2 linked regions of the Lepisosteus oculatus genome follow. The protein of the gene in region 1 interacts with the protein of each later gene in a biochemical or structural test. Links are inferred from orthologs where the notes say so. Each region holds a gene or a part of one and is shown on either strand. Other genes may lie near its edges.

Region 1 (8,344 bases):
AATTTACAAAGATATTTAAATGTCTCCCGAGCTCTTAATACTGCTTTCTGGAAAAACATTTTGAAGCATAATGTAAAATGTAACATATTTTAGAATGCTCTGGAGCTTCCAGGGAGGAAAGGATGATTTCCAAACTGTCATCTATTTTTTCAGTCTTGCCCTTAGACAAGTGCTAGTAAGTTTTGTCTCTCTCTTCGATCCTTTCAACGCTAACCAGTGGAGATTCTATAAATGGAATGAGCATTTTTCTCATCAGAAAACTTTTTATTTTGTTAACCCAGAGCTCTTTCTGGAACCACAGTGCACTAGCTGATATTACATGTAGGGATTAATTCTAGTCCATCACAGGAAACACACACACACAATTTAGAGATGCCAGTTGACTTAGCCAGAATGTCCTTGGAAAGTGGAATGAAACCACCACCTGGTTTCAACATCTGCTGAAAACTTACACTGAACTCCACACAGAAGGTGCCCCAGTCCAGAACTCAACAGATTTTCCAAAAGATGTAAGGCAGCAGTGCTAACTGAAATGCCACTGTCCTAGAGAATGTTTATCATCTGTTTCTGAGGTTATATATGTTTAAGTATATTTTGAGTGGCAATGAAAAACATTCTGTCAGGACTAATGTAGCATTAACTGGGAATTGTGGGGGTGCTTATACTGTAGTGCTAGTGGGTACTGGTGGGTGTTAGTAGCATTAGAGTGAGAACTGTAGGAACTATTTTAGTATTAGTGGGGGTGAATATAGTGTTAGTAGGTAGTGCAGGAACTAATGCAGTGTTAGTGGGTACTGTGTTAGTGAGGGTGAAATGTTACTATGTAATGTGAGGACTAGTGTAGTGTTAGTGGGTTCTGTGGGTGAATATAGTATTAGTGTGTACTGTGAGGTGTGAGGACTAATGTAGTGTTAGTAGGTACTATGGAGTGAATATAGTGTTAGTGTGTACTATGGGGTGAATATAGTATAACTCCTGTATATCGTAGGGGTGAATAGTGTTAGTGGGTACTTTGAGGTGAATATAGCAAAATTACTAGTTGATGTGAATACTAAAGTAGTGGTAGTGGGTACTTTGGGGGTCATTATATTGTTAGTGGGTAGTGTGGAAACTAATCTACAGTAGTATCAGTGGGTCCTGTGGGGCTTGATAAAGTTTTAATCTGTACAAGGTTCAAGAAAATATTAGTGTTTGTGGGACTTCATACATTTTTACTATGATATAGAGGAAGATTTTATGAAGAGTTCACCAAACTCCACAGTCTTGAGTTTAGAAAAAAATCGACATGACAATAGTGATGGTGGTGCAATGTATAATACTTATACTTTAGTAAGAGAAGTATGTTGTTGATCTTTAAAATTCAATTCTAGTAAGAAAGTGTTATTCTACAGTAAAACAGCAGCATTTACCTTTTACAACTTTTACAGAAAGGAAAAGAATACAGAAAGAATATTGGAAAGCAAATCATGAGAGAATGATTGCATTGGGGTCAGTTAGATATGAAATTACTAGCTGATGGATAATTGCTTTCCAAAAATATACGTCTAAAGGTACTGAAGCACATTCACATGCATTCAGTGGCATACATGGCTTAATACTGGATCAAAAAGACTATTGGAAGACATTTCAGGACACATAAAAAGAACCTAGAAAACATCGGGAGATGGAAAGGAAAACAGTATTGTGATGAAGAACAAAAAAGAACAAGATGGCATGTCAAGATAGCGCGCTGCCTATCACCCAGCAACTCACAACTGGCAACCCACAAAAGCTAAACAGGTCAGTACCTGGATGGGAGACCTCCTGGGAAAAACTAGAAGAGATGTTAGTGGAGCCAGTTGGGGGCACTCACCCTGCCATTTATTTGGGTCCCGATGGCCCAGTATAGTGACAGGGACACTATATTGTAAGAAGGCACCATCCTTCAGATGAAACATTAAACCGGGGTCCTGACTCTCTGTAGTCTTTAAAACTCCCAGGGCATTTCTTGAAAAGAGAAGGGGTGTTACCCTGGTGTCCTGGCCAAATTTCCCATTGGCCTTTATCAATTATGATCTCCTAATAATCCCCATCTATGAATTGGCTTCATCGATCTGTTCTCCTCCCCACTGATAGCTGGTGTGGGGAGCATACTGGTGCACTATGGCTGCCTTTGCATCATCCAGGTGGGGCTGCACATTGGTGGTGGAGGGGAGTCCCCATTACCTGTAAAACACCTTGAGTGGAGTGTCCAGAAAAGTGCTATATAAGTGTAAGGCTATTATTATTATTATTTAGCTATACAGATACAGCAGCCAAAGAAAACTAAAAGTAAAGGTGTCTGTTTATACAAATAAACCAAATCTAAATATTTAAAGGTAATAAAAATACATTCAATTACTATTAAATGGTGCATTGGATTCAAGAAAAAAAATAATGATTGCTTGGTATCAAATTAAGGGACCCAGCTCAGTTTTGTAAATCAATAAATCTGAAATATAAAATAAACAACCAGTTGTTGAAACCTAATGGTATTTTCCCAAAGAAATAAGAGGCTATTAAATAGTGTATTGTGTTTAGTCCTCTATATTGCAGTTTTAGAAATGGATTGAAGAGTGAACAGAATAGTTCATGGTGTCAAAGAAATGACATGCACAAACGTAAAACATAACTAAAACTTTACAACTCTTCAGTTTCAAAGGAGGTGAGTATGAGGGTATTTATTCAGCTGTTCATAACCTTAAAGGCTTTGTCAAAGTCATCTTAAAAGACTACTTTAGGCAGACATTAAGCAAAATAAAAAATTAGATACATGGATAGCAAGATTATGAGGATAATTTGGAATAAAAATAAGATACATTTTTTTACAAGAATACATCATGGGTATTTGGACAACAAACCTAGCTACTGTATGTCTGCTGAAGCAGACCTTTAGGAAAACTTAAAAAAATGGCATAATGAAACCCTGAGAGTGATTTTCTTCTGAATTTTCAGATGAGCTAAGCAGGTTTAATGACCTCATCTTCCATCATAACTGTTTTGATCCTGAGGGGGCATCTCAGAGGCACACTGGTTAGCATTGTTGCCTTGCAGTACTGGGAACTTGGGTTCAGTCTGGGACCTGGAGTGCTATCTGTGTGGAGTTTGTATGGTCTCTGTATGGTTACTGGAAAACAATTAGCCCTGGAGCAAGTGAATGCGTGTTCGTGTCTGTCTGCCCTGTGATGGACTGGCATCTTGCCCAGGGTGTATCCTGCCTTGTGACCGTTGGTTGTCAGGACAGAATCTGTTCCTGCAACCCTGAATTGGACAAAGCAGTTAGAAAATGGATGAAAAGATGGAATTTTCTGAGGCAGGAGGACATTATTTTCACCAGTAGAGGGAGTCCTTTCATTAATAAATCTCCAAGTTGTCAGACAAAAGGAAAGAAAATACATCAGATTTGACTAAATCGCCTATTTATAGGGCTGACCTACTTGTAGGTCTTTTGAATCTTTATTTTAGTTAACATCAAACATCTAAAAAAAACTATATATACTTAATCTTTTTTATGTTTTAAAATTATATAATCTCCTTGCTCCATTGAGCGTGGGACTGCAGTTTTTCAAATTAAGTAGAATAATAGATTAGAAATAAAGATCAATTAAATCAATATTCACTAATAATCATGGTTGTTTAATTTTTTTCCCATAGAAACTGTATGAAAAAGACTGATAAGAGAGTTTGAAACAACACTTTTTCCATATATTTGACAAATGTCTCGCAATAGTTTTAGTTACCACATTATTAATAATAAAATACATGATCCTGGGAGGAGAGCTAAGATATTGTGACCTCTAATTATCTGTAGAAGTTAGTACCCCTCTCTATGAGCTAGATATTTTCTTCTTCTAGTAGGTAGCTGTGTCAGCATGTGTAGGCTGCAAGGGTAAAAGATAAAAGTTTATTCCATGCTGAAAGGGAAAAAAAGACACAACATTTCAAACGAATTATTTACAAGTAACACAATAACTACAAAAACCTCATTTAGAAGTGACAAAATACAGTAACATTTGTTTTGTATTCTTTCCCTTTTAAATGGGGGTTTCATGTTTTCCATTCTATTATTTAGTTCCTCTTAAAAGTATACCCCTTGATTATTTGTTACTCTAATATTGTATGTATTAGAGACACTGCAGTCCTTTCCCATATAACACAGATATTTCCATTCTGTTGTGATTTTCCATTATGATCTTACTAGTGATGGTATTCTTCATTTCATAGACATTATTTTGAAATAATATACAGTACATCAGAGAAAAGATGTTGAGGTTGAACAAGTTTAAATTGAGCCAGTTCTAATCTAGGAAGATGTGTGGAAAACAGGACATTGACCCAGATACTTTAGATACACAAAGCCATATACGAGGTCAGGACCCTCCTCAATAAGGAGCCCTAGGCATCCCACTGACATCTGAGGGGACAATTTTAAGTGTAATGGTAGAAAAGTTGTTTTAAAGTGATTGTAACTGTTGTGTACCCAACATCATTTTAATCTTTTTTAATCTTAACCTTTGTGCTCTGTTTTTTTCTGCTGCTCTTAATCAACAAAATTGAACAAAGGAACAACGCTTTATAAAGCACAAATTTAGTTAATTGTGAATCTGTAATATCCAAATCCTAATACTGTATCGCACTGAAAGTCAGTGTTATTTGTTTGACAGGCAGATGGCGCCACCAGCCCGTCTATGATTCACCTACACTGACGTGACGTTTTTTGGGGGCTGAGCTGCAGCTTTTACCGATGTTTTAAGTTGAAGTCATCTGGATGGATGCTATCACATACAAGAGAGGACCCGTGGAAGAGTAGCAAACGAAGTGATTCGGCTCGACATGAGACTGAAGTTAGCAACGGCCTGGAGAAAGAACTACATTAAAGGATTTATTAGGAAATTATAACAACATAATAAACCTGTGGATTATTATGATAATTATTTGGATTGATTTTTCTATATTTTACAGGGTTAAAATAATCATACATGCTTTGGTTGCGATATTTAAATCTCTGTTATCAGGTGTCTTTACTCGGTAAATTACTGTTAAGAAGCTTGAAATAGTTCATCTTCGTTGAATCCTTAGCAATGGGATACAAAATGAAGCTTGGATGTAGTTTTCTTTTAATGTTCATTTTTTCTCTGTTAAGCACTGGTAGAACAGATCTGGGAAAGAATATCACAGTGGCTGTGATGTTGCCTGATAATTATAGCAAGTACGCCTGGGCACTTCCAAGAGTCTTTCCAGCAATTCGTATGGCAAATGAAGAAATTCAGAAGAACGGCGGACTTCTGAGGGGGTACCACCTTAACCTCATGAACACCAGCACTGAAGATGAAGGTGGTGGCTGCTCTGAAACTCTTTCTCAGATAGTTGCTGTGGATATAAAACTCTACAACAACCCCGACGTTTTTTTCGGACCTGGTTGTGTGTACTCCGTCGCTTCGGTTGGGAGGTTTGCCACCCATTGGAAGATCCCCCTGATAACAGCATGGGCACCAGCCTTTGGGTTTGATCAGAAGGATCAGTTCAAAACTGTTGTAAGGACCGGGCCCTCAACCACGAAACTTGGAGAATTCGTTTATAATTTCCATTCATATTTTAACTGGACCTCCCGTGTAGTAATGATCTATCATGACTTGAGAAAGGATGACCGTCCTTATTATTTCCTATCCGAAGGCATTTATAGTATGTTGAAGAACGCAAACGTAACAATTTTTCCTCATCCCTACTCAGAAACACAAATCTATGATTACAAAGAAATTATTACATTCATTAAAGACAACGGAAGAAGTAAGTTTGGAGATATTTGCATGTACCCTATGCCTAAAATGCAGCACATTTTCAGTACAAGTAGATCTTTGAGATGTGACCTATAGTCTTTAATCGAGAGATGGGTAATCTGTTGAATACTAGGTTCACTTGAATTTATGTAATGTTTTCGGCATTGACGGTGCTAAATTTAACACAACTGTTAAATTGTTATTTCAAATCATACAAATAGGTAATTTCGATTCGCAGAATATTATTTAAAGTATAAACTTTGTGCAATATAATTTTGATGTTATGTTTAATTTTCTATACGTAGATTATATATAGAAGTTCCACTAAAACTATATATATGTTAAGAAAAAATTGCATCATAACGATGACTGCTGCAGTTAACAGAAAAGAGAAGAGATGTATTATTTGAGATGCATTTCTTACTCTATAGAAAAAACTATTTTAATGAAATTTCATGCTCTTCATTGTGACCACCTGTCTATGTCCTCTGGATCTTTGATCTTTCGGCCCTCCGGGCGAGTTATTTATGATGCCTTCTTTTGGCAAGAGCCAAGGGGGCTGAGAGACTCCAAACTCGCTGCGTCTGGATACATTTTTTCAAGTCTTCTATTATACAGGTGGGATTTTAGATGAAGCCAAAGCTAATTATTTAACTTGAACAGCGCAGTGGATTAAGTCAACGTTTCAATCACATTTTTAATTTTGATTGAGGATGTTTTACTAGACTTTATAGAATGAAGTATGCTGCACAAACGCATAAAAAGTAAAAGCATACAGCCTCCATGAAAGTACACGTTAATTATCCTACTTTAAACATTGTGGTAGAGAGAGCATTTTTTTGCTTCAGTTGCTGTACAATGTGTGGTAAACAGTTCGGTTTGCTAAACATGCTATCCATTTTTGAACATTAAAGTAATTTCATGATGAGTCAATGGATATTTACAAAAAACGATCACTTAGTGTTTACGAAATCGCACGTAGTATGTAGTGAATGATTAGCACAATACTGTTATTTAAAATGTAAGTCTTACGAATTTCTTTAAGCATTACAGACTGTGTGTAGGAATCAAACAGCCAGGAACGTACATACATACACAGTACTTACTCCCAAAGCACTCAGACTTTGAACATTTTATGGGGTAAAACAACTCGGGATCAGAAGGTTGGTGAGAGCCCTAACAGATTTATGTAATGAATACAGTATCACAGTCTGCGGGGAGTTCCTCGTTTCCCTTTAGTTTGCGTTGTAAGACAAAGGTCACGAAAAACTAATATTTTGCTAAAGCATTAATCTTACACAGCAAAAAGTTAAGTAATATATAACTTCACTCTTCAGAACGCCTCTGTCATATTATAAGTATAGGTTTCAGACTACCTTTAATCAGAAAAGTGGGGAGGTTGTTAAATATCTGAAATTTCACCTTCCCCTTTTCGGTTTTTGTTTTGCCTTTCTGCAGATTGGTGTTATATAATGTTTCAACGGATTTACACTGATCGTTTGTGTGGACATGAATTCTTAAACTACTCCAGTAAATCCTAGTAACCAACAGATAAAAGTCGTGCATTTTTCCTACGTAGTCCCAATGTTCCCAAATTAGGCCTATATGAATTAATTGAAAACACTTTTACATAGTGATGACATAGCACCTTAAATACCAAAGAAGCGGTACAGTGAGAGCCGCAACAATATCGCTGTTTATTTCTGACTTTTAAATGTATACTGTATGTGTTATACAGAGCACTGCACGTGCAATTTCTCACATGATTATGCAGATGTATTGCAAATTATTACCACATACCTGGTCACAGCATAAGTAAAGAAGATGCAATTATGTAATTCATCCTAGCAAAATAAAGTCGTACTCAAGCCGTACATAGTGCTCACTTCGTTTTAAAAGATAAATCATTGATGAAGAAACTGATTTAAACTTGTTTAAAATAAATTACAGCCATTAATGTATATAAAACAATTGGACGATTGAAAGGTTGATGTAACAATTCTAGTAGATGTGCAGATGTCAGTTTGAAGTATACTTTACACCTTTTTCAAATTTCAAGGTATACCTACTGTCTCTGAGAGTACTGCATTTTGAAACTAGCTTAACATGGAATCAAATACATTTGTTGAAAGTATGTGATCTGCTTCATACTTGTTGAAGATAAAGGCTAACAGCATGTACTGTATAATAACTCATTTCAGTTTGGGGGTTCAGACATCAGATATATGATGAATATATTTAATTGCATTAACATGTAAAGCTATTTTGTAAAAGCCCATAATTATATACACTACAAATAAAATTTTACACACTAAACCTTAAAAAAATATTATTACATAATTTGTTTTACATAATTGGGTTTGACTATTTTTTCAAATGGAGCTTACTAAAAAACACTTTTCTGAAGTGTTGTTTATTTGGGACATCACTGCTAATATACAAAGAAACAACACAACATTCAGCATTTCCAGGGTTAATGTAAAATACTTTTTGAGTGAAGGAAATTACACCAGATATAAATCATACTTATTTTGTGGTTAGTGATTACT
Region 2 (7,620 bases), on another chromosome or scaffold:
AACGTACGTACTCACCATGTCTTCAATAAGCATAGGGAATGCAAACTACAGTAAAAATACTAAATATGAAGCATTGTGAAGTTTCTGAAATGCTTGTTTTATGTGTATTCGAGTGAATATTTGCTTTTCAATGTTTATATTTTTATTGCACTGAAATTTAAAGTTCTTAAGAGTTTCAGCACAACTTCCTGACTCATATCTCTTGCATCAAGAAACGTGCAGAATAAGGTCATCTGCATGCGATTATTCTAATGAATAAGTAAAAAGCAGTTATAAGCAATGCAGTGATAATGATTACAAACCACCTGATCTGTCTGTGATCAGACCATGAAACGGAGCAGCCAGCTCTACAGACTGGCACAGCATGCACCAAAACTTTAGTGACAATTTAGGAACACCAAATATGTATTCATATTACAGTACCAGTTGCCATGCAGCAAAATGCATAAAAATAATAAGGCAATTCAACCAGGTGTTTCACATATCCAAGGTGTTGATATATTCTAAATTAATTTGCTAAAGCCAGGTGATCAGTTGTTGTACCTTTAGCCTCCTAAATGCTGATTGCACAACTTTTGAGTCAACAGCTAACCTACATTCATGTCCAGCTGTAACTAACAGGACATTTTATTTGATTTTCAACAGGTTATTTATTGTTTTCAAATCAAAGTATCATGATGGAAACAAAGTCAGAACTTCAGAATCAAGAAACTAAATAATGTACATTAAATATTTGCCTTTGTTTGTATTTTACAATTATATTAGTCACAATATGAGCAGCATTGTGCATTATATATTCCAAATCAATAACTGTTAATTAGTATTAGTATTAAATTAATACTGAACGTGATCTATTGTTATTCACGGAAAAAATGTTCAAAAAAGAAACAAAAACGTTTAGACAGCATTGAAGAATTTAAACATAATCGATATTTTTTGTTGATTAATAGAGATAACTTTATATACGTTATCTATTATATTGCCTTGAAATGGGTTGGCGTCAAGTATCTTTCACTTTTGTTGGTATTTTCTTCAAGTAGCGGTAGTTTCTAACTACAGCAATCACCGTAATTAAGGATTACACATCCTTCGTATCACGATTGATTGCTGTTTTCACAGGTTATTAAAATAGAGTAATGGGTATTATCTATCAGCAAGGTAGTAGTCCTTCAGAGATTCTGAAAACGACAAGCCCACTTTTCCTTTTAACTCGGACATTTAATTGGAATCGCACAGGTCTCGGTGACGACATTCACGAGCAATATAAAAGCCGAGGACCGGCATAGGAGAGCGAAGAGAAACTTGCCGAAGCTCACGGTAATAAAACTCCGGTAAATCTGATAAAAGGAAAAAGAAATAAAAGAAAAAAAAACAAACTGAATTTCAAGAATGATGACAAAAGTCAGCATTTACTGCGCTGTACTGGTGCTGCTTCTAAACCAGATTGGAGCTAAACCGGTGTCCCACCTGCAGGTAAGACTTTTAGAGTTTGTGGATTTAAGAGTACTTTGCTGACACTGATTCCAAGCGTATAGACTGTATTGATTCCTTTCAGTTAGATCAAGCTACTATTTAAAACCTTGCTCAAATTAGAAATAAAACATCCTTGTTATAGCATCAACAATGTGAAATAAAGCGTCTTTATTTAATTTCTTTTCCATATGAAAATCTCGTGGTGTTACCTTTAGAATTTAAACACCAACCTACTGTACAGCATTGCAAATGTGTCTGTAGGACCTTACATTCAGAAATTCGTTGTTCTGGATTCGTGTGAAGGTTGAGAAGGAACTTTTCTGTTATTCCCTCTTGTGAAAGGCAATTAATTCCTGTATAATAACGAGCAAGGCCAATGGCTTGGGCATTCGTAAGGCGAGCACCTGCTCTTCTGCGTGTCAGGGCTCCTTAACAGTTTGTGTTGTTGGGGTTTTTTTTCAGACCCTTACGCAGCTCTTGGAAGAGGAACGGAATCCACCTTATCCCGCCTCAGAAGAGGCTGAGGGAGAAGGAGACCTGACAGCAGAAAATGGTGCCTACAACACGGCATCAGAATTGCCGTGGAACCAAAACTCAAGGGATCTCGAGCAGTCTGCGAACGAGGACCTGATGCTGCGCCTCTTCAGCGATATTCTGACATCCTCCAAGAGATCGTGGAGGAGGATGAAGAAAGGGAGCCTGAGGAGCTGCTTCGGAGTCCGGCTGGAAAGGATCGGCTCCACAAGCGGACTGGGGTGCTAACCAGGCCGGTAAGCTAAAAATAACAACAGCTATTTTCAAATGGAATGCCCATTTACTATTTGTTCGTTGATAAATTTTAAATCGGACCGAGTGCAGAAAACGCATATTACAGCGACATACAGTATGTTTTCTACGATGTAGTCTCCATGAGACACAGCGCGCAGGATTTAAGGCGCAAAGCGAAAACGTGAAAGTCTGCTCAAGTGAGAAAGCTACAGCATACCGTATCAAGCCAAGTGTTGATTAGATTAACAAGGTGTCATTTTATTTCAAAACCAGGAGGCTAGGCTGTTGTGTGCAAGAACAATCTTAACTCGTGCGTTCGTTCGTGCGCAAAGTTAGACTTGCAAGCCTGGTTGTGCGTGATGAGAATAGAAGTTCACAGAGCGGCTCAGTGCTGTCCTGCTCTCGCACTCACGGATGGGTATGTTTTCTTTCTTTCCAGGTTTTGCCGAGCCCAAGGAGTAAACTCGGGAAAGTCACCTTACACAATGGACGTTCTTCTACTCATTCCAGAAAGAATGACCTGAAAGTTTACAGCAGTATTTATTATGAAAGTATTTAATAAAGATGTAATGTGTTTGTTTTCAATTGAATTGTTCTAGTTTAGAGATGTATATATTTTAAATGAAGCTATTAGGCTATGAAGTCTATTAATATTGTTTTAACTATTTATTCTTCTTGTACAAAATACCTTGAAATATCTATGGAATTGCATAAAAACAAAATAAATATTTTGCTTAGTAAGTAAATGGTGAATTCTGTTTGTCATTTCGAAACGTGCATTTTCTGCATTTGGCTCAACGAATTGTTTACCTTCTAAAAACGAAGTGAATGTCTTCACCAAGTAAATAGATTCACCGATGAAACTTCAAACTTATGTTTTCCTTAAAGACACTACCAGGGAAATGGCTCCATGCTGTGGAAGGTTTCTGTTATTCATTTTCACAAGGTTCTCTTTTTAAATGAATGAAAAATAACACGGAAAAGATACTAGTACTAATTTCAAGTTTGGAAACCATTGGGGACACTGTGTGACAGCAGTATTTTATTGGTACTTCTGTTATGTCAGTGTGCGTCATATTGGACTGAAATTGAAATCGAAGCTCTTGTGCTACAGTGACATCTTTACACCTTGGAGCGACAGTACCTGCCATGTTCGTAGCATTACAACAGCTATATAGTGGGACGTTTACATCATTTATAGAGCTAAAAACACAACAGCTATTTTCAAACACAATCACTCTCTGAATGGCAGTCCCCTATGTGACTGCTTTCCGTGCCATTTATTTTGTGCAAAAGCGCTTAGTTCTTCAAGAAGGTTGGCGCTTTTTAATAAAGCCTTTGGAGAAATGAACTTTAAAAGTGCTGTTGTCATTTGAGCATATGTATGTTTCAAGACATGATTAATGTCTTATCGCAAATACAGTGAAGAAAACAGTGGTCCATCAACAGTGGTCAAATTGTAAAGCCATACACCTATTACACGACGGGATGAGGAAGTTTGTAAAGGCAAATACACATGTATTTTTAAATCTATTTATTTACATAAAGAGCCCACTTTTCTGATATGGTCTATTCTGTTTGGAATCAACTGATATTTACGCACACACACAGAGTAAAGGTTGACTTGAAGCCTTCAAGTTCAATTGAAGAGAAGGAGTCTGTTACTGATTTTCATCTTACAGTATACCACACTAAAGAAAGAGCACATAGGCCACAACAACGACTCGACAGGAGATGTGTAGCCTACAGCGCCAGCGGTCTCAGAGCATTCAAAACCAGTTACCTGATGACAGAACATCGTGTATTATTCTCCAACATATTCATATCACTTAACACGCACTGGTCCGCTGCAAATCTATTATTTTACAGTAATTAAGAAAGTAATACTACTTTACAGCCATACCTTATACACGATCGACAGTTTCAGTCGGTTTCACTGAATATTAATATTAATAATAATAATAATAATAATAATAATAATAATAATAATAGCTTACACTCATATAGCGCTTTTCTGGACACTCCACTCAAAGCGCTTTACAGGTAATGGGGACTCCCCTCCACCACCACCAATGTGCAGCATCCACCACCAAATGAATAACAAATGCATTTGACGGCTCGTTACATGCAAATAACTTTAAAACGTGTTTCCTGTATCCCAGCGTGACAAGAGGGGCTTATAAAAGAAACACTTCAGTTTCTTTCAAGAAACCACATAACTACAGTACAGTACTATCCAAAACTCTATGTGAAGTCGAGATATTCAGAATACAGCTGTATTACAGTTTCTACTAAAATAGTTTGGAGTTTGGAGGCGCAGTTTGTTCAACGTGTACTCTTGAACCATACATTTTAAAACCATTTCAAGTAGGAATCGTGAAAATGCGTTATCGACGCATAAATAAAAACATTTACAAAAATGGTCAGCTGCGCCTTTTACCTGTGACAACAGAAATTACGCGCGGACCGGATGGTCTTCAATGTGCTCTTTGGAGTAGTTCAGCTCTAAGACTCCACCAAATATTATCTTAAAAGGCAGTCACGCCTTAGCTGAAACTAGAGCACTTATCAAGTTGGACGTGATGGAATGTCAAGTTGATTTCTGTCATAACAAGCGGTTTATCACAGATGCCGACAGCGCGGTCCGGGTATATATTAAAGGCGCACCTTCCGAATAACCACGTTGTAGACGCATTTCATACGCAGCGTTCAAGAAGTCTCACGAATTCCGAATCTGAAAAGGAATGGCAAAGTTAGACGTTTACTGTTCCTTTTTAATTTTGTTGATAATATACAATGCAGCAAGGGCAAGCACTTTGTTCAATAGGTACAGCACCCAAGATCTCGACACTCTGAAGGTAAGAGCTCCATGCCAAAAGTAAACTCGAATCTTAAATGTTTCCTACTTCTCAGCTGTTAGAAACCAGCTGATAATACTGTAGTGGGGAGAACTGTCTTAATTTTTTTTCTTGTACTTTTTCAATACAGGACATAATTGAGCGACTAGAAGAGAAACTGACCCCCAGTGAAGAAAATGAACTCTACCCCGGATCAGAAGAACTAAGTATGGATTCAGGCGAAGACGCTCTTGTTTCTCCGGGGATTCTTCGACAGCAAGAGGAAAATCTGTTGCTGAATCCTAACAGATTAATCCAAGAAAATTCGCCAAGATCCCGACTCCGAGATTTGGCTGGTTTGGCGAGGACCACTAAGTCTTTCGGTGGTTGTTTTGGAAATAGAGTTGACAGAATTGGTTCCTGGAGTGGATTAGGATGCAACAGCTCCAAATTTGGTACATATTCCTTACATTCAGTTTCTCTTAAGAAATCTAGTCACGAAGAGGTGCTGTTTGTACGATCAGACATATCTTAAATCACTAATAGTAACACATTTCAATATTACAATGTGTTGGGTAACGCAAAATGCACAGTCCGACACTCCAGTGCTTTAACAATCTGTGCGTAAAACCGCCCATCTTCACTGAAGGTCTAATACATTTTGTATCCTTTTAATAAGAAGAAAGTACCGTTCTTATTAAAACGTCTCTACTGTATGTACTGAAGTTGCATTGCAATATAATCTGAAGCAACCTGTAAAATATTTGAACACGTGTCTGCAGAATGCTTATGTTACTCAGCTAAAAACATAGAGTTTATATGAATGATTCTGGGTCTTAATTGTAAGCATATTTCGTTAGTTTTTACTGTATAGTTAGAAACACAACATCATTTGTAACAACCACTGCTTGTAAACCTATGGTGTCTTCATAACAAAGTCACCAAAGAAACACAGCATTATCAGTAAATATGGTTCCAACGTATAACTACAACTGACATCTGACAGACTCTTTAACTACACATTTTTAGAGTGGGGGATATTCGGTTTTGTAATTACACATTGTATGAGAATATTCGACAGTACATAGGATTTGTGCTATTATTCTATAGTAATCAATATAAGCAGTAGGTCATTTCACTAGACTGTAATTTTACCTATTCAACTTCCTAAAAAAGCGTATTTTTTCCCCCGCCAGGTACCAAGAAGAGAATATTCGGCAACTGAGCTTCACGCCCTGTACAGACTCGGCACAGAGGATCAACTCGATAGTCACCAGATGTCAAACTCCACTTGGAATTGAAAAAAAGAAAAAAATAATTGAAGAAAACGCCCACAAACATTTTATACAGCTAGACAACCAAGCAGAAGAAGGCCTGTTGGAGATTTTTGTAGCCTCAGAAATCTGTAATTTCGTACTCTATCTCAGAGTGATTTCGAGGCTTAAATTATTTTTTGTTGGTAACGGAATAATTGGGGTACTCAATATAGTCAGGACTCCTTCAAATGGATCTGGGGTCGCGAATCAGAAATCAGGACACAGAAGAAAGCCAACCAGTAGATTGAGTAGCTGCACTTGTAGTTTACAATTAGTGACAGCGAGAAGTAATCTGGCCAAAACCGACAAAAGAAAATTATTTAATAGAAACAAGAGTATTGAAATACAGTTTAAGAAAGAATGTTACACCAAATCAGTTTTCTAAGAGTATCGTAAACACATGGCAATATATTTAGAATAGAGTTTTAACTCACATTCTATAATTTCCTGCTTCTTAATTCTGTTATATGCATATGTTGTTATTTGAATGTTTAGAACAAACGATGTTTTGGAAAATTATTTATAATAAAGAACGTTTAATTTACGTCTTGCTTGCATTGTGTAGTTCGTGACTAGATTAAAAATGCTTTGAGAGTGATCTGTTAGAGTTATTAGACTGGACAGTACCAATAATAAAAATGAGCCTTGGTGACCAGTTTTTGTGAGACACGTTCTGTATTTGATGAAGAACACTAAAAGATTCAGAAATATAATAGGGGACACTACCAAAACCAAAGTAAAGAAGTTATAGAATAGTTATTTTAAATAATGGTCATAGTTAAATAAGAATACAAACTTTGGGTAATTTCTGTTTTGAATTCATTGTTATATCTACCGTTACTTGAGCTCCTTGGTTTAATGCCTAGACATAATCCAAAGGTGAACATACAGTATAGAGTTTATACAGTATATGAACTTTACATAGTCAAAATCGCTATTTTCACAACGTAAATTAGATGAAAAAACTACATACATCTTGAATCAAAAGATTATGATCAAATTCCGTTAGAGTGATGTCATAAAAGGATAAACAAATCACCAAACGTCATGGATATCACATGTAACCGAAACCATTTGAACTTTTCTCTCCAAAGACAGCGTAAAGTTGTCTTAATGGTGCTTTTTGTATTTTATATGGCGTTTTGCACAAAATCCAAATCGCATCTTATGTAGATTAATTTACACAAAGTCTTTGCCCCCCCTTTTGGTTGCTAAGGAAATATAAT

Evidence for each region.
Region 2: the proteins of npr2 (region 1) and ventricular natriuretic peptide form a complex in vitro, tested with the Homo sapiens proteins (3 studies listed by BioGRID). The link is inferred for Lepisosteus oculatus from reciprocal best matches to the Homo sapiens genes NPR2 and NPPA.

The regions. Positions count from the first base shown.
Region 1 is NC_090698.1:29,193,899-29,202,242, reverse strand, and holds the start of npr2 (atrial natriuretic peptide receptor 2), read left to right. Parts: upstream 1-4,811; 5' UTR 4,812-5,099; coding exon 5,100-5,805; intron 5,806-8,344. UniProt on the Homo sapiens protein: Receptor for the C-type natriuretic peptide NPPC/CNP hormone. Has guanylate cyclase activity upon binding of its ligand. May play a role in the regulation of skeletal growth.
Region 2 is NC_090720.1:4,677,339-4,684,958, reverse strand, and holds ventricular natriuretic peptide, read left to right. Parts: upstream 1-4,901; 5' UTR 4,902-4,985; coding exon 4,986-5,099; intron 5,100-5,229; coding exon 5,230-5,533; intron 5,534-6,274; coding exon 6,275-6,303; 3' UTR 6,304-6,938; downstream 6,939-7,620. Other genes in the region: nppal (natriuretic peptide A-like), read left to right, coding at 1,390-1,473, 1,936-2,235.